Caenorhabditis elegans: one gene and its partner. The protein of the gene in region 2 interacts with the protein of the main gene of each other region in a pairwise test. Each region holds a gene or a part of one and is shown on either strand. Other genes may lie near its edges.

Region 1 (5,094 bases), 790 kb from region 2:
TGCACCGACATACACAACACGAACGAGAACTGATCTGGAAAAAAATAGGTGTGAAAAATTATGAAATCAAAGCGGAAAAAAGTTGAAATTCACAGAAATCTATGAAGATTTTGTATTATTTTTGTATATTAAGTAGAAAAATTGAAAAAAAAGTTGTTTATTATTGGATTTTATAATGATTTTTTTAACGACAAAGTTATTAATTTAAGAGAAAAAATAACTAGCTCTAAACTCTAAAAATGATACTGAATTTCACTTTAAAAAATGTTTTTGAAAGATTTGACAATAGGTGTTTCAAAAAAAAAAATGTATATGATAAATCTTGTAATTCCGGGAACTCGGCTGGGTCTCACCACGAAAAAAAATATTTCGAATTAATTCTAAAAAAAATTAAAATTAGCAGAAATTTAATAAAGATTTTTGTATTATTTTTGTGTATTATTGTAAAATTCTTTTTAAAAAATAAGTGAAATTTGAAAAATTCATTTCGGCTTTTTATAATGATTTTTACAACAAAGTTTTAAATTTTAAATTTAAAAAAAAATTCGTTTTTTTTTCAAAAAAACTGAAAATCTTATTATATTCCACAAAAATTATCTTATTTTTTCAAATCACTTTTTTTTGTAATTAAAAAAAATTGAAATTTTCAAAAAATTAGAAAATTGCAAAAAAAAACCACTTTTGTTAAATTTAAAGTTTTTTTTTAAATTTATATGTAAATTCGCAACTTTTCGTACTTAAAGGTCTCGCCACGAGAAACATACTCAACATTATTTGATTTTCGCGTCGAGACCCAAATACATGAATTTTTACCTACCCAGCCATGCATTTCAACAACCAATTATCCGTATCAATTCCATATCTTTGAAATGAAAAATGAAGACTTCGATTCCAGAAGAATCGTGCATCACTACAATCATGTGAATCACGATGTTGAGCTGAACGAGTGAGATCATATGATTGAAGTGATGAAAAATAGAACATTTGAGATGAAAGTAGTCGTTGTAACTGCAAAAAATTGGAGGATTTTAAATGTTTTTTTAGCAAATTTTTTTTTGTTATTTTTTCTCGAAAGATCTTTTTTTTTTTGAATGAAAAACACATTTTTTAATATTTTTTTAATAATTTTTTCAAACATTTTTTTCAAATCTATAAATTGTCGCTGTAACTGAAAAATAGAGGTTTAGAGGTTTTTTGTCAGAAATATCGATTTTTCCACGGTTTTTTTGTAATTTTTTTTGGCTTTTGTGCTTTTTTCTTGAAAAAACAAAACGAATCTTTTTTACAAATTTTTTTCTGTAAAAATGATTTTTTTCTGCTATCCCGGCGATTTTTTTTTGTAAGAAATGCATTTTTTAAAGTAAAAAATTAATTTTTTACTTTTAAAAAATTTGCAATTGTGAAAAATTTGTATTTTTAAAGTTTTTTGGAGAAATAAATTTTTTCAGCGTTTGCACTGGTTTATCTGTAAAAACTGAATTTTTTTTGGATTTTTTTTTCGAAAAAAATGATTTTTTGAAGTTCCTAATGCTTTGGTCTAAAACTTCAAAAAAGTCGAAATAGCCCAAAAAAATTGAACTCAAAATTTGATATTAAAAAAGGTTCAAATTTTCGAATTCGAAACCCTGAAAATTCACAAATTTTCTTTTTTTCATTTTTTTTACAAATTTTACTTTTTTTGGATCTTTTTTAATGTATCAGATAAATTTTTTAAAAACTTTAATAAATTGTTTAAAAAACTTACATCGATAATTCTGGAATCAACATTTTCGACGGAACCAAACGTTCGTAACGATATAAATTCGACATTTGTAATTTTAAGAATATCAGCTCCATAAAGTTGTCCAACTGAAAGTACACCAGTAACAGCAACTAGAACAGCTTCATCTTTTGTAATAGCAAGTACTCCAAGTATTCCATAAGCATCAACTATCTTTTGATATGATCTTCGTTCAACGTCTGTTGAATCCGAATCTGGAAGAGGAGGATAATTTTGGCAAATGTGGGAAATTTTTAAAAAATTTAAATGTGGATGAGAAATATTTTTAAATTTCTCCAAATTTTCCTCTAATACCGAATATCTAAGGGAAAAAAATTCAAAAAATATTCCCTGATTTTATATTTCAGCTTGAAATCGCATTGCGTCTCTATGAGATTTTTCAAACGTCGAATTTCCGCGCCATGTGTCGATTTATGAGATTTGTGTATATTTACGAGATTTTCAATGTTTATCAGATGCTGATTTCTGTTTTTCATTGAGTTTCCTTCATTTTCGTCGGTTTTTGCCAAGTTTTTTTAAAATTGAAATGGGTTTTTTTAAAAGCCAATTAAACATAATATCATTAAAAAACTAACAAAATTTCCAATGTTTAGGTCACAACTCGACGGAAAATTGGAAATTTTTCCTTTAAAAAACACACTTTCAAAAATAATTGGCAAAAACCGACGAAAATCGAGGAAACTTGTTGAAAAACGGAAATCAGCAAGATTTAAAATCTCGTAAATCGACACATGACGTCTCTGGCGCGAAAATTCGCTGTTTGAAAAATCTCATGGGTTAACAAGCGATTTCAAGCTGAACTATAAAATCAGGGAAATATTTTTGAATTTTTATAATTAGAAATTCGGAATTAGGGGAAAAATTGGAGTCATTTGAAAATATTTCTCAGGTTTTGGTACTCCACCTTTGAAAAAAAAACTAAAAAACCGTAATAAAATGGATTGTTTCGATAAAATAATTCTATAAGTTCTGGAGTTTAAATTTTTTTTTCTTTAAAATTTCTCATCAGTAAAAAACGTAATACGGAATATTTTACCACATGTTTTTTTCAAATTTTCAAAAATATTTTGAGAAAAAAATGAGAAAAAACTAATTTTAAAAAAATGTTTTTCGGCCAATGTCTAAATATTTTTTAAACGAATTTATTCAACTTTTATCCAAATTTTCGGATTATTTTTTTAAATTTAAATTAATTTTTAAAATATTTTTGAATAATTTCTTCAAAAACCTTACCTAACGTTGCAATAGCTCCACCCTGAAACAAAAGAGATCCATCTAATCCATTCTTTTCGACAAGGATTGATGGTTGAAATCGTGCATCATTCCTCCGCCATATCCGAATCCCTCGAACTGACATTCTCTAAATAATCACAAATTCAAGAAAGAAAAAACACCAAGAAAACTAAAAAAAAATAAAAAACAAAAAAAAATAAAAGAACCTCAGTAGTGGTGGTGGTGGTGAGAATAGAATAACGAGTCTGCGCGGATGGCAGACTGAGTGAGACAGTACGTGAATAGAAGAGACGCAGAAAAATGCATTGGGAGAGACGCAGAGATGTGAATATATTGACGAAGAAAAAAGGAAGACGATGGCAGAAGGGGAAAAGCCCTGCGAGAAGCATATAAAGAAAGAAGAAAAAACCGACTAACTATACGTGTTTTGTCTTTTTAAATCTCTTAGGCCTCCCGGTCCCGGCCACGGGTGTCATTGGGCATTTTTTTGCAATTTTTCCAATTTTCGGAAAATCTATATAAAGAAAAATGGCGAAAATTTAAAGATATTATTTTGGAAAAAAATTATTTATTTTCGAAATGTCGAAGAAAATAGATTTTTTTCAATTTTTTCAAAAAAAAAATCGAAAAATTGAAAAGATTAACAATAAAATTCAATTTCTATCAAATTTTGTTTATTACGCGTACACAAATTTCTGAGAATGCGTATTTTGCAACATATCTCGTGGCCAAAACTACTGTAATTTATAATATATAAAAATACTATTGTAGCGCTGTTACGGAAATTATTCATTAATCGATAAAATATTTTGAAAGATAACACAGAAATGACAAAAAAAAATCGAGAGATCCCGTAAATGGGCATAAGCGCTACAGAAGTCATTCAACGGGATACTGTAGTTTTCGCTACGAGATACTTTGTGCGTCAGATATGTTGTGCTACGCATTCTCAGAATTTAGTGTTTTCGTGATATGTTGAAGAAATTCGAAAAATCGGAAAAATTTTTTTTTCGAAATATTGGAAAAACGAAAAACTGAAAAAAATCCCTAAACTTTTAGATTTATTTTTTCACTAAAATCTGTTTTTTTACGCCTAAGAAACAGAAAATTTTCGTTTTTAAATTTTTTAGTGAAAATCGGAAAAACAAAATTTTAAAAATTAAGAGATATTTTTTCGAAAAGTCGAAATATTGGAAAATCTAAAAGTTTTTGGTTTTTCGATTTTATTCAAAAATTTTTTTTTTCAATTCGAAATTTGTTCGTTTTTCGATTTTACTATTAGAGAACATTTAAAGATCGAAAATTTTAGTTTTTCCAATATTTTCAAAAAAATTTAATTTTGCGGAATTTCCGGAAAGTCTCTTAAATTTTCGGTAATTTTTCTCATACATTTTTCATTACTTTCTGAAAGTTTGTTTCTCCATTTTTGCGATTTTTAGGGAAAAACTCATATAGTCTCTCGCGATGGACACGCGTTTTCATTTTTTTGGAGACAAAGAAAAAAAATTATTGGATTAAAAAATATGATTTTAATGCACAAAACGAAGAGCACAACAACAGAAGAAAAAGTAATAATGATATAATAATAATGAAATAAATTATAACAATTCTCTCGATATTCCCTTCAATACTCTGAAAACATAAACAAAACGAAAAAAAGATAGAGAAAGAGAATGTAATTTGAGATCATTGTTGGTGTGACGATCGACTCTGCTTACTCTAACATTCCATATCATCAATCTCATTCACTTCTGTGTTTGTAGTCACAATCTGGAATAATTTTGAGATTTTTTCAGATTTCCGAAAGTTATGGTTTTATTCATGCGATGTGGAAAAATGCAAAGAATGTATTTTTATACGTTTTTCCTTATTCATGTGTGTCGAAAAATGTTTAAAAAACGCATGCATTTTTCGACATTTTTTCTGTATTTTTCGACATCGGCCGACATCCCATTTCATATGCTGAAGGCGAGAGACGAAAATTTGCGGGGACACAGAGAGATGTGTCCCCGCAATTTTTTTTTAATTTTTCGATGTTTCGATTTTTTTAAAATTAGCTCAATATTTCGGCCATTATTCTT
Region 2 (7,837 bases):
TTTAAAAATCCAAAGATTCATACCAACGGTCTCATCAATCTCAAAAGATTGCTGAAGTGTCTTGAACGCGCTTCCCATCTTTTGCCAATTTTGTTTTACCGCTGAAATTTGATTTTTTTAATTTAAATTTTTAAAGCTCGAAAATTTCCAACATACGTCCAGCGAAGACCTTCTGGAACATGTTCATTCTCTCCTGCATCACACGCATCGCTTCTTCCGATGTTTTGACGCTCCGTTGGAATCGTTCAACTTGCATATCGCTGGAAACATGTAGGATTACGCAGGATTATCAAACTTTCTGCGTAGAATTCTATTAGTTTCTTACACATTATTCGGATCCAATGGTTGATGTGGAACAGTGATACAGTTCAGGAAAGCTCCACCAATGTATTCATCCTTTTCAGCTCGCCGCTTCCCATTCTTCCAATCTTTTTCGTCGGTGCAACTGATAAAGTGGAGCCAAACTTCCGACTGACTCAACACTGGATGCCTACAAATCTTGTTGACCCATAACTGAAGAATGTGCTTCCGATGATCAATAAGATCCTCCTCGTATCTTCCGGCGACCTGTTTCTCTGGCAACGGTGGAATCGGAATGAGCACATATTTAGCCGATAGCTGCTCGTGGAGCCAATCGAAATGCTTGTAGCGACGGGATACCTGACGCTAGCAAGCGGTTAGTAAGCGTCGAAATCTACAAATTTACCTGAATATTAGTCAAACTCGACGTAATCGAATATGCGATGAAGCTCTTCAGCCCTTTCAGCTTTGACTCTTTCTTCGGTTTATCCACTATACACGTGTAGTACTGTTGAATCGGTTTCCATTGAATAATTCCATTGTTCATCACAACTTCATGTCGTTCACTAATCTGTGAGGTGGTCTTTGATTCACCAATCACGTACGCTTCGACTCCGGACTTTACAAAATTCGAGAATCGATTGATGTTCTTGTTGACCTTATTGGATCCTCGATCAGGTCCACCGTGTTCCGAGTGGCTACGGCTGAGGTCACGACGGGAGTTCGAGCCGATCGAGGATTGAACGTTGGGCCGAGTTGGTTCCTGGAAATCGGAATTTTTTGATTTTTTTTATTTTATAACTTTTTGGACACAAATAAGGAAAACATGCATGCGTTACATAACAACCTCAATAGTTAAGGAAGCTTGATACTTTAAGCCAATCAGAACAACGAGCAGTCCCGTACGCCTCAAACAACACGTGGAGTCAGAAAGTCCCGCTTCGCTCTGATCTACGAAAAATGCGGGAAGTGAGACGCAGACATCTGATTTCGCATGGTTAAGAGTGTGCTGACGTCACAATTTTTTTGGGCGAAAAATTTCCGCATTTTTTGTAGATCAGACCGCATTGAGACCAGGGGTGAGCGGCAATCGGCGATCGGTGATCGGCGATTTTCGTGATTTTTCGGCGATCGGCGATCGCCGATCGCCGATGGAATTTTTCAATAAATTCATCTCGATTTTTAAAATCTCATGTTTTTTTTAAACGATTGTTTTGTTGTTTTTAATTTTTTTTTTGAGTAAATGTTAATTTTTCGTCGCATTTCCTTACCAAACAAAAAAACGGAAAGGTGTTTTGACCGAATAACTCGGTTAAAATAGCCGATCGGCGATCGGCAATCGGCGATCGCCGAAATTTTTCGGAAATTGGTGATCGCCGATCGCCGAAATTTTTCGGAAATTGGTGATCGCCGATCGCCGAAAAAAAAAAAGTTTGGGCGATCGGCGATCGCCGATCGCCGATTTTTTTGGGCGACTGCTCAGCCCTGATTGAGACTTTCTGACACCACTTGAAACAACTTATCGAACAACCCGAACCTTATTCTGATCGTGGTGAGACCGATTCGAGCTCAAACACGAGCTCACCGACTTCTCAACTCTCCGTCGACTATCTCTCTCCTCACTGAGACGTCTCCGTCGGGCGGTGCTATCTTGCCTACTCAAGCGCTTTTTGGTGCTCGTGGAGCGGGTAGACGAGCCCACACTACCGTTTCTTTTGCTAGAGGGGTAGGCACCGTCTGCAATGAGATGTGTGAGCGTTGTTAAAGCCACTATGCTTTGAAAATCTTGTAATTGCACATTCGCGGGAAATGAGAGATCGAAAAGAGAGAAACAGAGAAGCCACGTGGCTCCACGTTTTTTCGTTGCGAGGAACATCATCTCTTCTTCAATATCTAACCTTCCAACGAATGTGTAATAGATGTCCGAATGCTTCGCCGACAAGAACTATTCTAATAACCTTGCTGACTACTCCTCGTCTCGTCGTCAGTGGACATATCCGTTCGAGACCCACTTGCACGATGATGATGATGACGAATCGAGTTTTGATAATTCACAACTTGATCATGGACGGACAGACGGTGTTCCTTAATCAACGGATTACAAAAAGTGCTAGAACGCTGAACGTTTCCCCTAAAATATCTAAAAACGAACCCACGACGGTGAGAACGAGACGCTCGCCCTATGAAATCCACGAATTTCAGTAATAGGAATAGGACGGTTATAGAAGAAGACGTCGGCGTCCGATTGACGCAGTCGACGCATTTTTGCATGTATATATATATATGGATATATGTATATATATATATATACATATATATATATATATGTGAGTATGGATATCCAATAGGATCACCAAAAAAGACTCAACACATGATGATAGTTTTCGAGAGGCGTCGGGTGGCGACAGAGCAAAAATGAGCTGGTGGAGAGTGCTGGGGGATTCTCAATAGCAGCAATCAGGAGAGATGCTTGCACATATAAAGCGCGGGGTGTTGCAAAGAGCAGTTGAGAAGGGATATCCCTATTTTTGAGAAGAAAATTTGGGTTTTTTTTTTGTTTTTCAGGGTGATTTTTTAATTGTATGCGTAGTATTAATTTTGAAACCGACATGAAAAGGTGCTCCGCCCCCGAACCATAGGTCTCGTTAGGTATTGGTGTCAAAGTGTCTCACTTCGGCGTGATCTACAAAAAATGCGGGAATTTAGACGCAGATTTTTCAGCAAATTTCGTATGGTTAAGAGCGTGCTGACGTCGCATTTTTCTGGGCGAAAAATTCCCGCGTCTTGTAGATCAAACCGTTATGGGACAGCCTGACACCCCGTGTATTTGGCGTTAGGTATCAGTTTCGCCAATTTTTGAGAATTTTCCGTTGTTTTAATGATTTTTTTGAGCACGTTTAATACCCAACGAGACCTATTTTATTGGGGGCGGAGAGTTTTCATTTGCAGTGGAGCGGTGTGTCCCAATACAGTTTGATCTACAAAAAAATCGTGAATTTTCTCCCAGAAAAATTACGACGTTAGCACGCTATCAACGAAATCAGTTGAAATCAGGGGTGTGCGGCAAATCTCAAAATTTGCCGAGCTCGGCAAATTCGGAAAATCTCTTTTTTTCAATATTTGCCGAGCACGGCAAATTCGGCAAAGTTGCCGAGCTCGGCAAATTCGGCAAATTCGGCAAACTCGCCGTGCTTAACAAACTCGGAAAAATTTGATATTTTTTTTATGTTTTTTGGAGCACCAAAACTACTGAATTCTTAACACACATCTGGTTTCTGAATAAGTTCCGCGTAGTATGTCTGTTTAAGCATCAAAATAGCTCAATTTTGTATCATTTTACTAAATTTTTGGCTAAAAAATCAATAGTTTTAGTCAAAATTGTACTGTCAAATTTTTGACGTGTGCGGCAAATTTCGAAATTTGCCGAGCTCGGCAAATTCGGCAAATCTACTTTTTTGAAATTTGCCGAGCTCGGCAAACGGCAAATTCGACAAATTCGGCAAATTTGCCGCACACCCCTGGTTGAAATGTCTACGTCTCACCTCCCGCATTTTTCGAAGATCAAAGTGCGAAATGGGACTTTCTGACTTCACGTGTATTAAGAAAAAACCTTTGAATGCTAGAGTTAGTTGGAGTAAAATTAATAAAACCTATAAACTTAAAAAAATTCTAAATAAAAAATCCCAGTTAAATAAAAATGTCCTTTACATTTTGAAACGACGGCGACTGATTAACTTGTAGATGATCTAGAGCGATAAAGCTCGAGGATCGTCCACGAGCAAACAGCATTCGCGAAAATTTCAGCAGCAGCAGAAGTTGTTGTAGTAGTAGCAAATAAATCTGGATGACATTTAAATAGTCGCAGCCGACGACGAAGAGAGAGAATTTCGAATGATTAGAAATGAAATGTCCGAAGAGAAGAGGGTCCAGCGGCGACGGAGTGGAGAGACGACTTCTACCGGAAACCAAGTTGCGGCGGCGACGACAACGATGTCGTTTCCCGGCGATTTTTGAGGAGGATGACTATTCTTTTTGGACTTTTCGTTTGGTCTTTTAGGATATATAGATTTAGGAGTTAGAGGGTATAAATAGGACGGACAGAAACTGGACAATCAAAAAATTAAAATAAAATTTTAAAAATACCTGCTCATCATCCTCATCCGTCCATTCATCGTCAAAATCATCATTCTGTGATGGATATGAAGATCTAGTGACTTCCGGTACAGATGGCGTTGGCTGATGATGATGTTGGGCTCCGTAGGATGGTGGAGCAGCAACTTCTGAAGCGCCTCCCCAATCATCAAAAGGACGCGATGAGGCAGCTGGTGGACCGCTTGAAGTTGGTGGGAGTGGTGGTGGTAGGACCTGGAATTTTTGAGTATTTATGAAATTGTTTAAAAAGTTAGAAAATTGAAATGGGATCTGTGTGTCATGTGGTCCCATCACGGATTGATCTACAAAAAATGCGGGATTTTTTGCCCGACAAAATGTGACGTCAGCACGTTTTTAACCGTGCACACGTGGTGTCAGGCTGTCTCATTGCGGTTTGATCTACGAAAAATGCGGGGATACTTTTCAAGAAAAATTGTGACTTCAGCACGCTCTTAACCATGCGAAATCAGATGAGATGTCTGCGTCTCTTCTCCCGCATTTTCGAAGATCAAAGCGAAATGGTACTGTGCGAAATCAGTGGATAACTCTACGTCTCAATTCGCGCGTTTTTTGTAGATCAACGTAGATCAAGCCGGAATGGAGCACTCTGGGAGCTACAGTTATTACGTATACGTCACAAGAAAATGGGTCTCGCCACGCTGACAACTGTAAATCGACACGAGTAACAGAAACTTGTTGTCAGCGTGGTGAGACCCGTAACCAACTACTAGAGCTCTATTTTGTGATATGGTACGGTAGGAGTACTGTAGGATTACTGTAGAATAACAAAACAAATCTGTTGTGAGCTTTTGTGGAGTCTCCAGCGGTGTCCTATTTGAGGATCGACCTCATTAAGTTTGGTAGCGAACACATGGTGTCAGAGTTTCCCATTTCGGTTTGATCTACGTTGATCTACAAAAAAAATGCGGGAGAAGAGACGCAGAGTTCTCATCTGATTTTGAATTGTAAAGAACGTGCTGACGTCACATTGTTGGGCAAAAAATTCCCGCATTTTTTTTGTAGATCAGACCGTAATGGGACGGCCTGGCACCATGTGAGCGAATGTAAATTTCAAATTGTCAAAATTTACTCTGTTTGGCACCTACACGTGGTGCCAGGCTGTCCCATTACGGTTTGATCTACAAAAAATGCGGGCATTTTCGCCCAAAAATATGTGACGTCAGCACGTTCTTAACCATACGAAATTAGTGGAGAACTCTGCGTTTCTTCTCCCGCATTTTTTGTAGATCTACGTAGGTCAAACCGAAATGAGACACTCTGACACCACGTGCACCTATGAATTTGCCTCAGAATTTCGAGGAATTTCTGAGAGGTTTGGAAAGAATCGAAAAGATTATCTTCTACACAAAACCCCTACACTCTTCGATATTGCTCCACTTTTCTTAAAACTGCTCTTTCTAGACGAGTGCTTCCCAGTGGAATGCTGTTCATCCTCTTCCTCCATCAGAATAGGTGGCTTCATCTTATGCGGTGAAGCAGATGTGTCTTGTTTGATGAGTGTACTACACGTGTGTCGTCGAAGCATCTGTTTGCGACGACGTTCGAGAAGCTGCCGATGAGCATCTTCAGATGAGCCGCCCGGTGGTGTTGGGTAGTTCTCAACGGCCTTTCGAAGACTCGATGTGAAGAGCATTCGCGAAAAGATCGAAAAGTCGGATAAAAAGTAGGAAATCTCTTGGCAGAATGAGTGGAATATAAGACGAATCAGGTATATAGAGCTTCTTTGAGAATCTACTTATTTTGTTTTCAAGTATCTGGACCGCCGTCTTCAAGTGAGTAGGAGGATCCGAACGTCTCCAGGGACCCGAGGAAAAACCAATTTCAAAATAGTTTTTCTTTCTTTTTTTTTCTATTTTGTTCCAGTCTCTTCCGCTTCATCTCACTCCTCTTTGTTGCGTTCTTCTTCCACCATCTTTTTTATTATTCAAATTTCATGGGCTTTTACTCATCTTTCTCTCCGTTTTGAATATTTTTCGGAAACAAGCATCAGATTCAGCGATTTCTAGAGGGTTCCAGCAGCTCAAAATGCTGATGAGAAGGCAATTTCAATCATTTTGATGCTTTTGGCTCACCACAACCAATTTAGATGCTCCCCGCAGAAATGCACACAACGAAGACACACAACGAAGACACACACACACACACACAAAATACAATCAAAACCGGAAATAGATGAGAAAGTGGGTTAACTAGAAGACAAATGGGTTACCGGTGGCGGACGAGAAGCTTGATAGGGAGTTACGTAGGATTCGGGAAAGAGTCCGACGGATCCACGCACGTTTCGACCTTCTATCCATCCTCCGTCGATGTTCTGAAATAAAAACTCTTGATTTTGCTTTAAATTATAGAAAAAAATGGGCTGAAATGATCGAATAATAAATTCTTTTTGTGATTTTTTTTCCATTTTTGGGTAAATTCTTTCGTTTTTCTTATTTTTTTAAAGAGATATTTGAATTAAAACGCCATTTATCAGTTTTTCAGACATTTTTCCGCGGAGAAAACTTGTTCTCCGGACGAAAATTGGCCTAAAAATCAGGAATTTCATATATTGATAAGAAATTTTCAGGAAAAACGCCTGGAAATCTGACAAAACCAATGAATTTACACCATTTATCAGTTTTTTTTTGTTTGACAAAATTATGTAAATTATCAACGTTTGGCCAGATTTAAAGTTTCTGCGTATTTTGTTCGAGGAATCGAGTTTTCGCTTCGGAAAAATGCCTGAAAAACGAATAATCAGTGTTTTAAAACAAAAATTAAACAAAAAATTAAGAAAAAACAGATGAATTTCGCCAGAAAACGGGAAAACGCCGATTTATTCACGCGGGAATTCAAAATTAATTTAGCCGATTGTTTCATTTTACGATTCAAAAAATCCTCGAACAACTCTGTTCCACCTGCTCAAAAAGCCTCTTACCTCTCGAATAACCGTCAAAACTTCGCCAGCCGAGATTGACAGTTCGCCTGTGTTTGGTTGACTTTGAAAATCATACTCGGCTTTCACCTGAGCCATTTCTCTGAAAAAAATGTTAATTTTTAATTTAAAATATTCCAGAAAAAGAGTAAAACTGAATTTTCAGCAAGGTTTTTCAGTTGATAAGTGTCAAAAAAAGCGAGCGAGCAGAGAATATGAGAAATCAATAAAAAATAAACAATGAGTCAGCCAATATTTCAATACACAACGCGGCAACTCGTGATGACTGGTGAAATTGGGAAGTTTTTTAGGGAGGAGGAGGAATAGGTGTCAAATTTCCATAGGCATATGATTAAAATTGTTGAATTTTGGGTGGGAAAGTGCATTTTTGGGTAAAAAAAAACACTGTTAAAAGACAAAATGCAGCAATTTGAAGAATTTACAGAGTGC

The links.
Region 1: the proteins of lst-4 (region 2) and unc-26 interact in a two-hybrid assay, tested with the Caenorhabditis elegans proteins (one large-scale study listed by BioGRID).

The regions. Positions count from the first base shown.
Region 1 is NC_003282.8:13,269,375-13,274,468, forward strand, and holds the start of unc-26 (Synaptojanin), read right to left. Parts: upstream 3,143-5,094; 5' UTR 3,138-3,142; coding exon 3,014-3,137; intron 1,975-3,013; coding exon 1,745-1,974; intron 1,009-1,744; coding exon 818-1,008; intron 35-817; coding exon 1-34. Other genes in the region: cpsf-3 (Cleavage and polyadenylation specificity factor subunit 3), read right to left, coding at 4,733-4,783. UniProt on the Caenorhabditis elegans protein: Probable inositol 5-phosphatase which regulates synaptic vesicle recycling in neurons by regulating clathrin-mediated endocytosis.
Region 2 is NC_003282.8:14,062,365-14,070,201, forward strand, and holds the start of lst-4 (Sorting nexin lst-4), read right to left. Parts: upstream 6,107-7,837; coding exon 5,831-6,106; intron 4,666-5,830; coding exon 4,444-4,665; coding exon of another isoform or gene 4,369-4,443; intron 2,299-4,368; exon of another isoform or gene 2,296-2,298; coding exon of another isoform or gene 2,259-2,295; intron 2,038-2,258; coding exon of another isoform or gene 1,838-2,037; intron 1,064-1,837; coding exon 707-1,063; intron 667-706; coding exon 326-666; intron 261-325; coding exon 157-260; intron 102-156; coding exon 24-101; intron 1-23. UniProt on the Caenorhabditis elegans protein: Involved in the signaling of vulval development by acting as a negative regulator of epidermal growth factor receptor (EGFR) signaling. Aids in phagosomal membrane tubule formation which is required for phagosomal fusion with endosomes and lysosomes.